2 linked regions of the Saccharomyces cerevisiae S288C genome follow. Changing the gene in region 1 together with any one later gene gives a genetic interaction. Each region holds a gene or a part of one and is shown on either strand. Other genes may lie near its edges.

Region 1 (7,259 bases):
ACGGTGGAAGAATTACATTTAATAACGAACGGGACAATATGATATCATAGAAGAAAAAAAAATGAGTCCCGATCACTATTTTACTTCATATCTGCAGCTCGGACATGTTTGAAGATTATAATGCTTGTGATGGTCATTCGAAATAGTGCCTCTTCTAAATGTTTGAATAATTTTCCATAGCTAAAGGTTAAGTTCATCCATTAGTTTCTTTTTTCTTCTTTGCACTAACCAATGCTCCATATCTGCCAGAGTTGGTACATGGATTTCTTGTGTCTGCCTTGACATTTCTTCTTCATCTTCATTCACAGGCACATTATAATGTGCTTTCAAAATGGATGTCCAGTTAGCCTCAAATTCGGTTAAGGCGGCTGTGACTTTGCCATGGTAATAAAAATCATTTCTATCCTTCGGTATGCATTTGGTGTTTATAGAACCCCCATCATTCTGCCTTTGAGACTGCTTGAGCCATTCTTTTACTTCAGGCAATTCCAGGGCTCTTCCAAAATATCTCTTACCATTTATCAGCTTTCCTGAATTCATCAGCACATGACTGTCTTCTAACCTTTTCCTCTTGGTTTTTTTTTCCATAAGTGTATGGTCAATGTGCCACTGCCATCTCTTCCATTCTTTGAAAAGATTATTAAGTTCGTCGTTAAGTTCCGCAATCTGCATTTCATTTAAAGACGGATCATATATTCTTGTGCTTTTTTGTTTTATCTCTTTACTTACTTGTCGCTTCCATTCGTTGGCCTCTTTTATGGATTTTACCTTAGACACGTTCCTGGGCCTCTGGTAACGTGAATAATCCTTGTATCCACCTGCCGACTCTGCTTGCTGCTCTTGAAATCGTACCAGAACTGAGTTGGCCTTATCTACATTTCTACTCATTTTGAATGCACAGGTATCTGATTACTGATGTGGTGCGCCTTGCGATATAACGGTGTGTCACTTTTATTTGCTCTTTCATGCATCCTGAAATTATTTCACCGCACTACGCAAAGAGAACGGAGAAAAAGGTATAATAGGGCAAATGATCATTGACATCGTGATCGTAAGCCAAAAAAAAATACAATAGGCTCCCTAAATAAGTAGAGTAAAAGCTCTTGAGATGAAGGAGAATGACATGAATAATGGCGTAGATAAATGGGTAAATGAGGAAGATGGTCGAAATGATCATCATAACAACAATAATAACTTGATGAAGAAGGCCATGATGAACAATGAGCAAATTGATAGAACTCAGGATATCGACAACGCCAAAGAAATGTTGAGGAAAATATCAAGTGAAAGCAGCTCGCGCAGAAGCTCCCTGTTGAATAAAGATTCATCTCTCGTGAACGGCAATGCAAACAGTGGCGGTGGTACGAGCATTAACGGAACAAGAGGAAGTTCTAAGAGTAGTAATACACACTTTCAGTATGCCTCCACGGCGTATGGTGTAAGAATGTTGAGTAAAGATATATCTAATACCAAAGTGGAACTGGATGTGGAAAATTTGATGATTGTTACGAAACTCAACGATGTCTCACTGTATTTCTTAACAAGAGAGTTGGTAGAATGGGTTTTGGTACATTTTCCACGTGTGACTGTTTATGTGGATTCCGAATTGAAAAACAGCAAAAAATTTGCCGCTGGCGAGTTATGTGAAGATAGTAAATGTAGAGAATCAAGGATCAAGTATTGGACAAAGGATTTCATCAGGGAACATGATGTTTTCTTCGATTTGGTAGTGACTTTGGGTGGCGACGGTACTGTTCTTTTTGTAAGTTCCATTTTTCAGAGACATGTACCACCCGTTATGTCGTTTTCATTAGGGTCTCTAGGATTTTTAACAAATTTTAAGTTTGAACATTTCAGGGAGGATTTACCTCGGATTATGAATCATAAAATCAAGACAAATTTACGGTTGAGGTTGGAGTGCACAATTTATCGTAGACACCGCCCTGAAGTAGACCCAAACACGGGGAAGAAAATATGTGTGGTGGAAAAACTAAGCACACACCACATTTTGAACGAAGTGACCATCGATCGTGGTCCAAGTCCTTTTCTATCCATGTTAGAATTGTATGGTGACGGCTCATTAATGACCGTTGCGCAGGCGGACGGACTGATTGCTGCTACTCCGACTGGGTCCACGGCCTATTCTTTGAGTGCAGGTGGGTCATTGGTATGCCCAACCGTCAATGCAATCGCTTTAACACCCATTTGTCCACATGCATTGAGTTTCAGACCCATCATCTTACCAGAAAGTATAAATTTAAAAGTGAAAGTCTCGATGAAGTCAAGGGCTCCAGCATGGGCGGCTTTTGATGGGAAAGATAGAATTGAATTGCAAAAAGGTGATTTTATAACCATATGCGCCAGCCCATATGCTTTTCCAACCGTGGAAGCCTCGCCCGATGAGTTTATTAACAGTATCAGTCGACAACTAAACTGGAATGTGAGGGAACAACAAAAGTCCTTTACGCATATTTTGTCCCAAAAGAACCAAGAAAAATATGCACATGAGGCGAACAAAGTCAGAAATCAAGCAGAACCTTTAGAGGTAATAAGAGATAAATACTCTCTGGAAGCAGACGCTACTAAGGAAAACAACAACGGAAGCGATGATGAGAGCGACGATGAGAGTGTAAACTGCGAAGCTTGCAAATTAAAGCCTTCGAGCGTCCCAAAACCTTCTCAAGCAAGGTTTTCAGTATAATGTTACATGCGTACACGCGTTTGTACAGAAAAAAAAGAAAAATTTGAAATATAAATAACGTTCTTAATACTAACATAACTATTAAAAAAAATAAATAGGGACCTAGACTTCAGGTTGTCTAACTCCTTCCTTTTCGGTTAGAGCGGATGTGGGAGGAGGGCGTGAATGTAAGCGTGACATAACTAATTACATGATATCGACAAAGGAAAAGGGGCCTGTTTACTCACAGGCTTTTTTCAAGTAGGTAATTAAGTCGTTTCTGTCTTTTTCCTTCTTCAACCCACCAAAGGCCATCTTGGTACCAGGAATATATTTCTTTGGGTTAGTCAAGTACTCTGACATGTTATTTTCGTCCCACAACACGTTTTTCTTGATATTGGCATCTGTGTACGAATACCCTTCAGCTTGACCAGAGTGTCTGCCAAAGATACCATGCAAGTTTGGACCAACCTTATGTGGGCCACCCTTTTCCACGGTGTGGCATTGTAGACATCTAGTCTTGAAAAGTGTAGCACCTTTCTTAGCAGAACCGGCCTTGAATTCAGTCATTATTAATTTAGTGTGTGTATTTGTGTTTGTGTGTCTATAGAAGTATAGTAATTTATGCTGCAAAGGTCCTAATGTATAAGGAAAGAATATTTAGAGAAAAGAAGAAAACAAGAGTTTTATATACATACAGAGCACATGCATGCCATATGATCATGTGTCGTCGCACACATATATATATGCCTGTATGTGTCAGCACTAAAGTTGCCTGGCCATCCACGCTATATATACACGCCTGGCGGATCTGCTCGAGGATTGCCTACGCGTGGGCTTGATCCACCAACCAACGCTCGCCAAATGAACTGGCGCTTTGGTCTTCTGCCATCGTCCGTAAACCCCGGCCAAAGAGACCGGAAAGATCGGTGAAAACATCTTGATCTTGCTCCCGGGAATTTTAGATTCAGGTAGGAAATTGATTACATCAATACTGTTACCCTGAATCATATTCGACGATGTCGTCTCACACGGAAATATAATTCATTTCTTGGTTTTCCAAAAAAATTTTCATTTTTTTTCACTTTTTTGTTTCGTCCTCCTTTTTTTTTTTTTTTTTTTATTTTTTTTCCTGTGTTCACCTTTTTTTTTTTCAGTTGACATCTTTCTGCATTCTTTTCTGTGTTTTTTTTTTTTTTTTTCGTTTTTCCATTGTTCGTTCGTTGCCTGTTTTTTCGCCCTATTGTTCTCGAGCCTAAAAATTTTTTCCTTTCCTGCTTTCCTTTCTTCGTTCAAAGTTTCCTATTCCATTGTTCTCTTTGGTAAACTCATTGTTGTCGGAACTCAGATATATTCAGGTCAATTTACTGTACTTCAATTGACTTTTTTCTTGAAATTTCAACTTGCCTTTTCAACTTGTTCTTCTTTTTTAATCTTATTCTACACTTTAGTTCCCTTACCTTGTTCCTAATTATTGTCTAGCAAAAAGAAAACATACACCTATTTCATTCACACACTAAAACATGTCTGACGAAGAACACACCTTTGAAAATGCTGACGCTGGTGCCTCCGCCACCTACCCAATGCAATGTTCTGCCTTGAGAAAGAATGGTTTCGTTGTCATCAAAGGTAGACCATGTAAGATTGTCGACATGTCCACTTCCAAGACCGGTAAGCACGGTCACGCCAAGGTCCATTTGGTTACCCTTGATATCTTCACTGGTAAGAAGTTGGAAGATTTGTCTCCATCCACTCACAACTTGGAAGTTCCATTTGTCAAGAGAAGCGAATACCAATTGTTGGATATTGATGATGGCTACTTGTCCTTGATGACCATGGACGGTGAAACCAAAGACGATGTCAAGGCACCAGAAGGTGAATTGGGTGACAGCATGCAAGCTGCTTTCGATGAAGGTAAGGATTTGATGGTCACTATCATTTCTGCCATGGGTGAAGAAGCTGCCATCTCCTTCAAGGAAGCTCCAAGATCTGATTAGATATTTTAGATTTCTATAGCTTACAAAATACGCGATGTTTTTTTGATCTAGAAATCTTATTTATACATTTTATATAATATTATAATAATCATAATCATAATTATTCATCCTAACTAACTTCGTTCTGTTTCAGCTACGAAGTTGCCTTCATTATCGCTACGTTCGTGTTAATTGGTGTTTGATACCATAGTCACTTATGACGACGTGCAGAACTTTTTTTTTTGACGGATATTTTCCCCTCAATATGCCGAGGATGATTACTTTATAATTTGCCTTCTTTCGGTTCCTTCTTCTTTTTAATTTAGCTGACGGGAACATGTGTATATACCCCAGAAGAATTTAAACAGAAATTTTTTTGAGCATTTTACGAAAATATTAAAAACTAGGGCTACAGATATCAGAGAAAAAATTACTTATATGATGACAATAACTTAATATCACAGTCACTATCGTTCTCGCCTTTATATGCGCAGTGACAGCATTCGACTTTTCCTTGGAAGGGACCCGATCAACGAAACTTCAAAAAGAGTAGAAGTCAAAATATTTTTTGCACGACGAGGGTGACAGACCGTGCTATGTCCACAAATGAGGCCCTGCTTTCCCAAGATAAATTGCGTAAACATATAATTGTTACAAATCCAAGGCTCTGTGATTTCTTCACCAAGTGTAGTTGTGATGTATGATGTGTAGGATAAGTAATGACCGGTAAATCAAGCTGGTAAAAAGTCCTAATAACAAGCCCGAATCTGGAATAATGGTAATATTCCCATGCCAGGTGGACAGTGTTGTCCTTAAACAAACTCAAGAGATTAAAGGCAACTTGGCCGAGTGGTTAAGGCGAAAGATTAGAAATCTTTTGGGCTTTGCCCGCGCAGGTTCGAGTCCTGCAGTTGTCGTTATTTTTTATTTCCCTTTCTTTTCGTACATACACAATGCACAGTCTTCAAAGTAAAATACCAACGTATGTATCAAGATCAATTTTTTTTCTTTTTTTTTTTTTTTTACCGTAAATGTACGTATTCTACCTTATATCTAAAAATATTCTTCAATCTTGTTGTTTTGATTTGTGGATTTGCAACAGCTTAGAAAATCTGTTTTTATCCAAACTGTTCCATCTATAAACTTTTAACCCACCATCCACTTGATGAACAGATATGTCCATTGGTAGGATACCTTGTAGCCCAGCTAAAATTTCACTTGCTTCTTTTGTACCGATAGGATTATTACTATCTTGTAAACTATCTACGATTAGCGAGCTTAGATATGTCTCTGTATAAGGCTGGCCCCTGGTCAGCGAAAAAAGAATATCAAATACCTGAGTCATTTTCATCGCTAGAAACTGCTGGTAACGTTTTTGCCTTTGAGAAAGCAATGCGGCCGAACGTCTCTCTCTTTCACGCAGTCTGTCCATAAGGTTTGCTTGCGAATCAGGCATCTTCTCTTTGTACATGAAATTTTCCTTACTATTCGCCAAATATCTTGAGTTATTCAAGGCATTAGCATTAGAGCTCTTCGTTTGCACTTTACTGCTCAAGACTGTTTTAGAATTAGAGCTGGACCTTCTTTTATTTATTTTGAAAGCGGGTACATCAGTCATAATCTCATCCTTGGAAGCTATCACTTGTTGGTACCACGACTCTGCCCTTTCCACGAATGCCAAAGTCCTAGACTTATTGGTCAACGTTGTTAGATTGTCTCTTTTGGGTAGATTCATGGTCAGCTCCCCTCTAGAGTTCAGTTCCACTACGTATGCATCAGACCAAATGGTCAATAACTTCAAAATATCATCCTGCACTATTTTCCTTTTCATCATGCTGGATATCTGGGGTAACAAAACGTGCAGCTCTGGTGGGACGCCCGTGGATCTGGAAAGAGCGTTTAAAGACAATACAGTCTCGCAAACAGTAAACAACTCCTTAACAAACTTCATTGCGTCTTGGAGTCTTAGAATACTAAGCTCCCGTGGGTAGTATTGCTGAGCGACTTTTGGGAAAGCCTTAATTTGTTGCTCCAACAAATGATTGGCAATCGTACCCTCTCCTTTACTCGAGATTGGCGTAGTAAGTGGAGGCCAGATGGTCAACGAAACAATGTTCGCACGAGGATCTATCTGGAGTGGTGAGGTAGTGTGCATACCTTGAGACCAGCGCGCAAGGAGGGTCCCCGTGTGGAACAGAAGACAATCGGGTTCATCAATACTCACCCAAGAATTGTCCGTCGTCGCCATAGTCGATGGCTTGTACCTTATAGCCTTGGCACAGGGGAAGATGGTCAACACGCCCGTCGGAAGAAAAGTAACATAGTCCCTTTCAAACAGGTACTGGAAATCGTCGCCAGTGGGCAGCACGGTAGCACCTGCATCTGCACCATCGTGTGTACTACCATTATCATTGAAATAACGGGTCAGCTTAGTCGCATAATGAGAGGTGCTGATACAGTCTTGCAATTCTGCGCTAGAAACCACACTTTTCACACACAGTTGGGCGAAAAACAGACCCAGTTTGAACAGCCTACTATATATGGAGCACAGTGACTCATTCCTGCACTTCCGATCGAAGCGTAATTGAGGATCAGTGTCAAAT
Region 2 (5,116 bases), on another chromosome or scaffold:
TACTTTCCCGAACCGCCTACACATTTGGTTAGAGAAAGTAGCATAAGTACTGTCGCAAGGCATGTTTCATCAGGTGTAGATCTGACTAATTCTGAAGAACATCCTTTGGATACGGATTCTGATTGTAACGCCCTTCGTCTCAAACTTTCCAAAGCGGATAGTTATAGAAGTGTAATTCGTCATTAGAAACTCTGATCAATAGCATAGTGTAACATAGTGTAGCATACCATTCAGGTTGTATTATATACGCAACAACAATAAAATATTAATTTAATTATTGCGATGACAATTAAGTAAAGATGATTGAAGAAAACAATACTAACAAATTTTGAAGCATTTGTATTTACTTAATTTTAAATTTATTATTATAGGTACAGTTTCAATAATATATTTATATAAAGCTGATATTTTATATATAGGAAAATTACGCTAGGTATGTAACATTGATTAAAAATTAAAAAGCGGAGTGATAACGAATGTAGTCCATCCTCCGAATCTTTTTAAACTTCCTTTGTTTCTTGAATCCAATTCGAAATTGTTCTCCTAGTGGATTCGTGTGGAATAGCGTTATCAATGTTGGCAATGAATTTGTCTGCTAACTCACGATATTCGTGGGAATACCTTCTTAATATACTTTTAATAAACCCAATCACTGTAAAATATTTCCATTTCAAATCCAGTTTATCATCTTCAATATCGTCGATGTCCATTTCCCCGTTGACTTTAGGTATCTCAATATCTTCATCAGCATTGACATCTAGTAAGTCTATAGTACTGTTGGCGATGGTACATAATCTTTCGAAAACGAACTCAAAATTATTTCCACTTTCGTTCTCTTCCGAGATTTGTTGAGATAAATTTCTAAAGACCGCTTCAATTGCTGTAGCTTCAATCAAACCATTATTCTTCAAACCAGTTTCGTTAAATATAAATGTAAAAATGGTTCTGGAAGTAAGTAAACCTGCATATTTGAATGCATCTGCTACTAAGAAACCTGTCTGAGGGTTGGCGTTCCAAAATGTTAGGACGGCTTCAATTATGATATACTCTTTTGTCTCGATATCCAATTCAATCTTCGCAAATATGGTTTTGAGATCTTCTTTTAAATCATTAATATATTTATTAGCATGTGATAAAGATCTACTACCAGAGTCTGTAACGGCCTGGACTAACAATATGATAACAAATCTGTTAAAGTCGGAAATTATGGAACCATACTCATTCTTTAACTCACCTAGAATACTTTCTAATTCAGTAACTTCCCTAGAATTGTTTGCTTTGTGGGTATAATCTAAAATTTTACGGACTGTGTTTTCCATAGGTACACCTTCTTGTCTAAAATATAGATCATTTTTTCTAACGGAATCTTCTTCTACCGTATAACCGGTGAATAATGATTGATAGTAGTTAATCAGTTGATCTCTTGGAATGTAAGAAGTATCCAAATATTTCGTGAATTCTTGTGGTAGGCTGTCCTCTACTTCTGAAAAGTTAGAGGTCAATCGTAGTTCTTTTTGAATCAAATTTTTAGCAAAATTTACCTTTGGATTATAAAAATACTTGCCAAATTTGATCGAATCGTCTTCCCATTCATTCCACTTCCAAGAAAAATTAAAGTTGCTCATTTGAATTGAAAACCAGTCCAAATATCTTAATTTTAGTTCAAAATCTAATGAATCCAAATGACTATAAAAAAACCTAAAGGCTCTACCAAAGACAGGAGCAATTGCTTTTGGAGAATTTTGACAAATATCCACCAATAAAGTGTAAAAGTATGCAAAAGGCTGGGAAACACTAGGTAATTTAAAAATAAGTCCCAAAATGGTTTCAATAGCCAAATCTTCTATCTTAAATGTAGGAGCCAATGGGTTCTCTTCATAAGTGGCAATTAATTGGGCAATAGATTCACCAGGTTCTGTAAATATACCTGCTTTGAAAAAAAGATCCAAAGTTATCACTTGTCTAGCTACTTCCTTTCTATTGAATTCTAAACTTTCCACCAGATCAATAATGATATCGTTGAATAATTGACCAGCATAAGTGCTGATTGGTACAACTGTTTCGAAATTACCAGCGGAGTTTGGCAAGTAAACATGAAAAGCATACCTTGGTGTCTTCCACATGCTATCAACTGAACCAAAGTTTTTATTCAAGCGCACGAAAGACTTTAGATCATCTACTGATGGAAGGGTTAAAGCGTCATTGAACCCTTCATCACCGGTTTGGGGAGTTAATAAATGATTCCAATCAGGAAATAATTCATTCAGCTGTTCCAAGTTATTGATTAGCGCCTTCTTGACGTTTGGTAATACGACTCGGACAAGTTCTACCATTTCATATGGAGGTTCACCATTGTATTCTCTTAATAGGTTTATATCCGTTGTTTTAACTAGATAGTTTTGTTCAACGTATGCAAGTAACTCCTCCACTTTTGTCCTCAAACCGTCATTATTCCTATTAAAAAAGAACAAATACGGGATATTTAATAATGTATTGGTGTAAATTGCTTCAGATAAAGGAACTCTGTTACCTGGATCCAGATTGTTTAATTCGATACTCAATTCAAATAAGCTCTTGTAGATATTGATTAGTTCATCAACTAAAAACATGGGCGATAGAATGGATAAAAATCTCAGGATTAACTTGATCTTGTTCCATGGCCCAGTTTCATTTGACGTACTCTTGAATTCATCATTATATGTTTGCTTGCACCATTTTTGTAATTCTTCGAAGAAGTAATTGATAATACTCTTTCCGGCAACATTATTTTTCGAATTAACAACCATGGTTAAGAGAGCGATAGCAGCTTGCTTCTGTGGTTGCTCCACAACAACAGCGTTTAAAGTGCTCAGTAAAGCATTATTAAAGTAGTCCTCATGGCCATACTCATTCATTATAGCTTCACTCAAGAATTTGATATCATCTTCAAAAGCTTTAACAGATTCACCAATAGTGCGAATATCGGGCATCATTTCTTTACACAGTTGTACAACAGGTGGGATTCTCTGTCTTTTAGGCATGCGAGGCCTAAAATCACGGTAATTTTCATCTTCATCGAAGTCTAACGGTAAAATCATATGCAAGGTAGTCAAAGTTGGGTATGTTAGTAATTTGAATGAAACTGAATAATTGAGTTTTTGTAAAACCAAGCTAACCTAATAATCCTAGGAATGTAAAACAAAGTAAAGATGGAGAGTAAAATAAGAGAGGTTACTTGCCGTTATGTATTCTACGTGTACCGTTTCTCCACTTCTCTGTGCCACAAAAGTACACTTTTCTGTCACACCGTACTAACTGACAAAAAATGGAAATACCATCCTAATTGGTCTTGATATACACACTCTAGAACGAAACTTCTGGAAAACATTGGTTTTAAAACATACCTCCTCTTCTTTTTCTATTAAACATCTTAAATATATTTAAAATGCAATTGTAGCCCCAAACGCGTATACCAAAGTCGTTTTGATTAGCAATATACCTTCTGTCCTTCCTTTTTTACCCATTATACACTTTCACCTGTTGCTGAGTGTGAATTATATTTTTTTCAACTTTTTCAAGAACAATCTGAAAAAGCATCTTCTACGTGTAAAGTGATTTTATACTTACGTAGTATGATTTTGGTGCACTAAGCGATATATACAATAAAATACATCATTCATCTACTGTAAACGTCCTTTAAGCATTTCAATTTCTGAATCTCTCTCATCAATAAGTTTATTCAAGTTTTCAATTCTTCCTACTAGTTCCATAGAACTTGGTTTGGTGCCATTTTCTTGGAGTAATAACTGCTCCTCCGCAATGAATCTCTTTAATCTCTCGTCATTTAATTGCTGGATCAATTGCACAATTTTACTGGATTTTTTTCTCAGTTCCTTTTCAAAGTCAGAAAAAGACACACTCGAAGAATCGTCAAAAGATGGTGCTGAATTATTGGTTTCATACAGCCGTATTCTTTCTTCTAATTCAGTTTCCCTTTTTATCGATTCTGCTAATTCTGTAGACACCAGTGTCAACTCATTCATTAATTCTTTGTTTTCTGTTATCAAATTCAATTGCTCACCAGATATTGTTATCATCTTTGGCTGAGAGCTATCTTCTCCACTAGTTGATCCGGCGGAAGTTATGTCTCCTCTCCTAGCATATAACGGTTCATACGGTTTGGCTAAAGTATTATCAAAACTGAAGTCTTCTTCTGAAGCATTCATGCCATCCTTATCGTAGCTAACTGGGGCTGATTTTGTTTTGGAGGGTGAACCATCCATATGCGGTACAAAATTATCAGATTCTGAGGCGGAATCAATATTCAACGGCAGCGTATTGGAGATGAACGATCTACGGGAAGAGCTGGACATATGAGAAACTGCTGATAAATGACCATCGCGATTATTTTTTTTATATAGAAAAGTATCATTGTTGATGTTTTCCTGGTTCATGGATATGTTGACATTACTTAGTCTCCTGCCATTGCCATCGGATTCACGTCGCTTAATGGTAGCATCTGAGACATTTCTTTTGGGATCTCTTTCCGGTATGGATTGTAACAAAGAAGCCCTTTTACTAGTATTGAAATCAAAATCGACCTCGTTCGTTGTATTCATTTCGCCATTATCCGAATTTGAGTTATACTTTCCGGGAGAGGGGAATTCTTGTGCGGTCACGTATTCATTGATATCAGTAGAGTTTTCTAGCTTATACATACCTGTTCTGGTATTGATGATTCTTTGCTTGGAGGGAGAATCACTAAATGTGGATGAGAAAGTCGACAAGGACGCTCTATTGGCGACTGCACTTTCACTTTCCAATTTAAGATCTTTTAAACCAGTCTCTAGCGCACTCGCAGGTCTTAAATTTAAATCGTCTGATTCATGTGAAATTTCCTCCTCTTCATTTGCTTCAGTATTTTTCTCAGCTCTTTCCTTTTCTTTTTCTTCTACTAGTGCTTCTCTCTCACGTAAAGATTTTTCCATTTCAGCTAGCTTCCTTTCTTTTTCCTTTAACTCGTTTTGTTGAGGAGTGGATAATTGCAAAACATTCAGTTTTCCCTTGTTTTCAATAGGTTGATCAATGTTCACTTGTTTTTTTAGTGGTGAAGATCCTTGTTTTGTAGAGTTAGGCA

Evidence for each region.
Region 2: of CYC1 (region 1) and STO1, a mutation in one rescues a mutant of the other (synthetic rescue), as found in Saccharomyces cerevisiae (2 studies listed by BioGRID).

What each region holds. Positions count from the first base shown.
Region 1 is NC_001142.9:522,326-529,584, reverse strand, and holds CYC1 (cytochrome c), read right to left. Parts: upstream 3,251-7,259; coding exon 2,921-3,250; downstream 1-2,920. Other genes in the region: ISY1 (Isy1p), read right to left, coding at 181-888; UTR1 (NADH/NAD(+) kinase), read left to right, coding at 1,109-2,701; ANB1 (translation elongation factor eIF-5A), read left to right, coding at 4,204-4,677; TAH11 (Tah11p), read right to left, coding at 5,723-7,259.
Region 2 is NC_001145.3:515,831-520,946, reverse strand, and holds STO1 (Sto1p), read right to left. Parts: upstream 3,409-5,116; coding exon 3,384-3,408; intron 3,062-3,383; coding exon 501-3,061; downstream 1-500. Other genes in the region: DLT1 (Dlt1p), read left to right, coding at 1-186; EPO1 (Epo1p), read right to left, coding at 3,660-5,116. UniProt on the Saccharomyces cerevisiae protein: Component of the CBC complex, which binds co-transcriptionally to the 5'-cap of pre-mRNAs and is involved in maturation, export and degradation of nuclear mRNAs.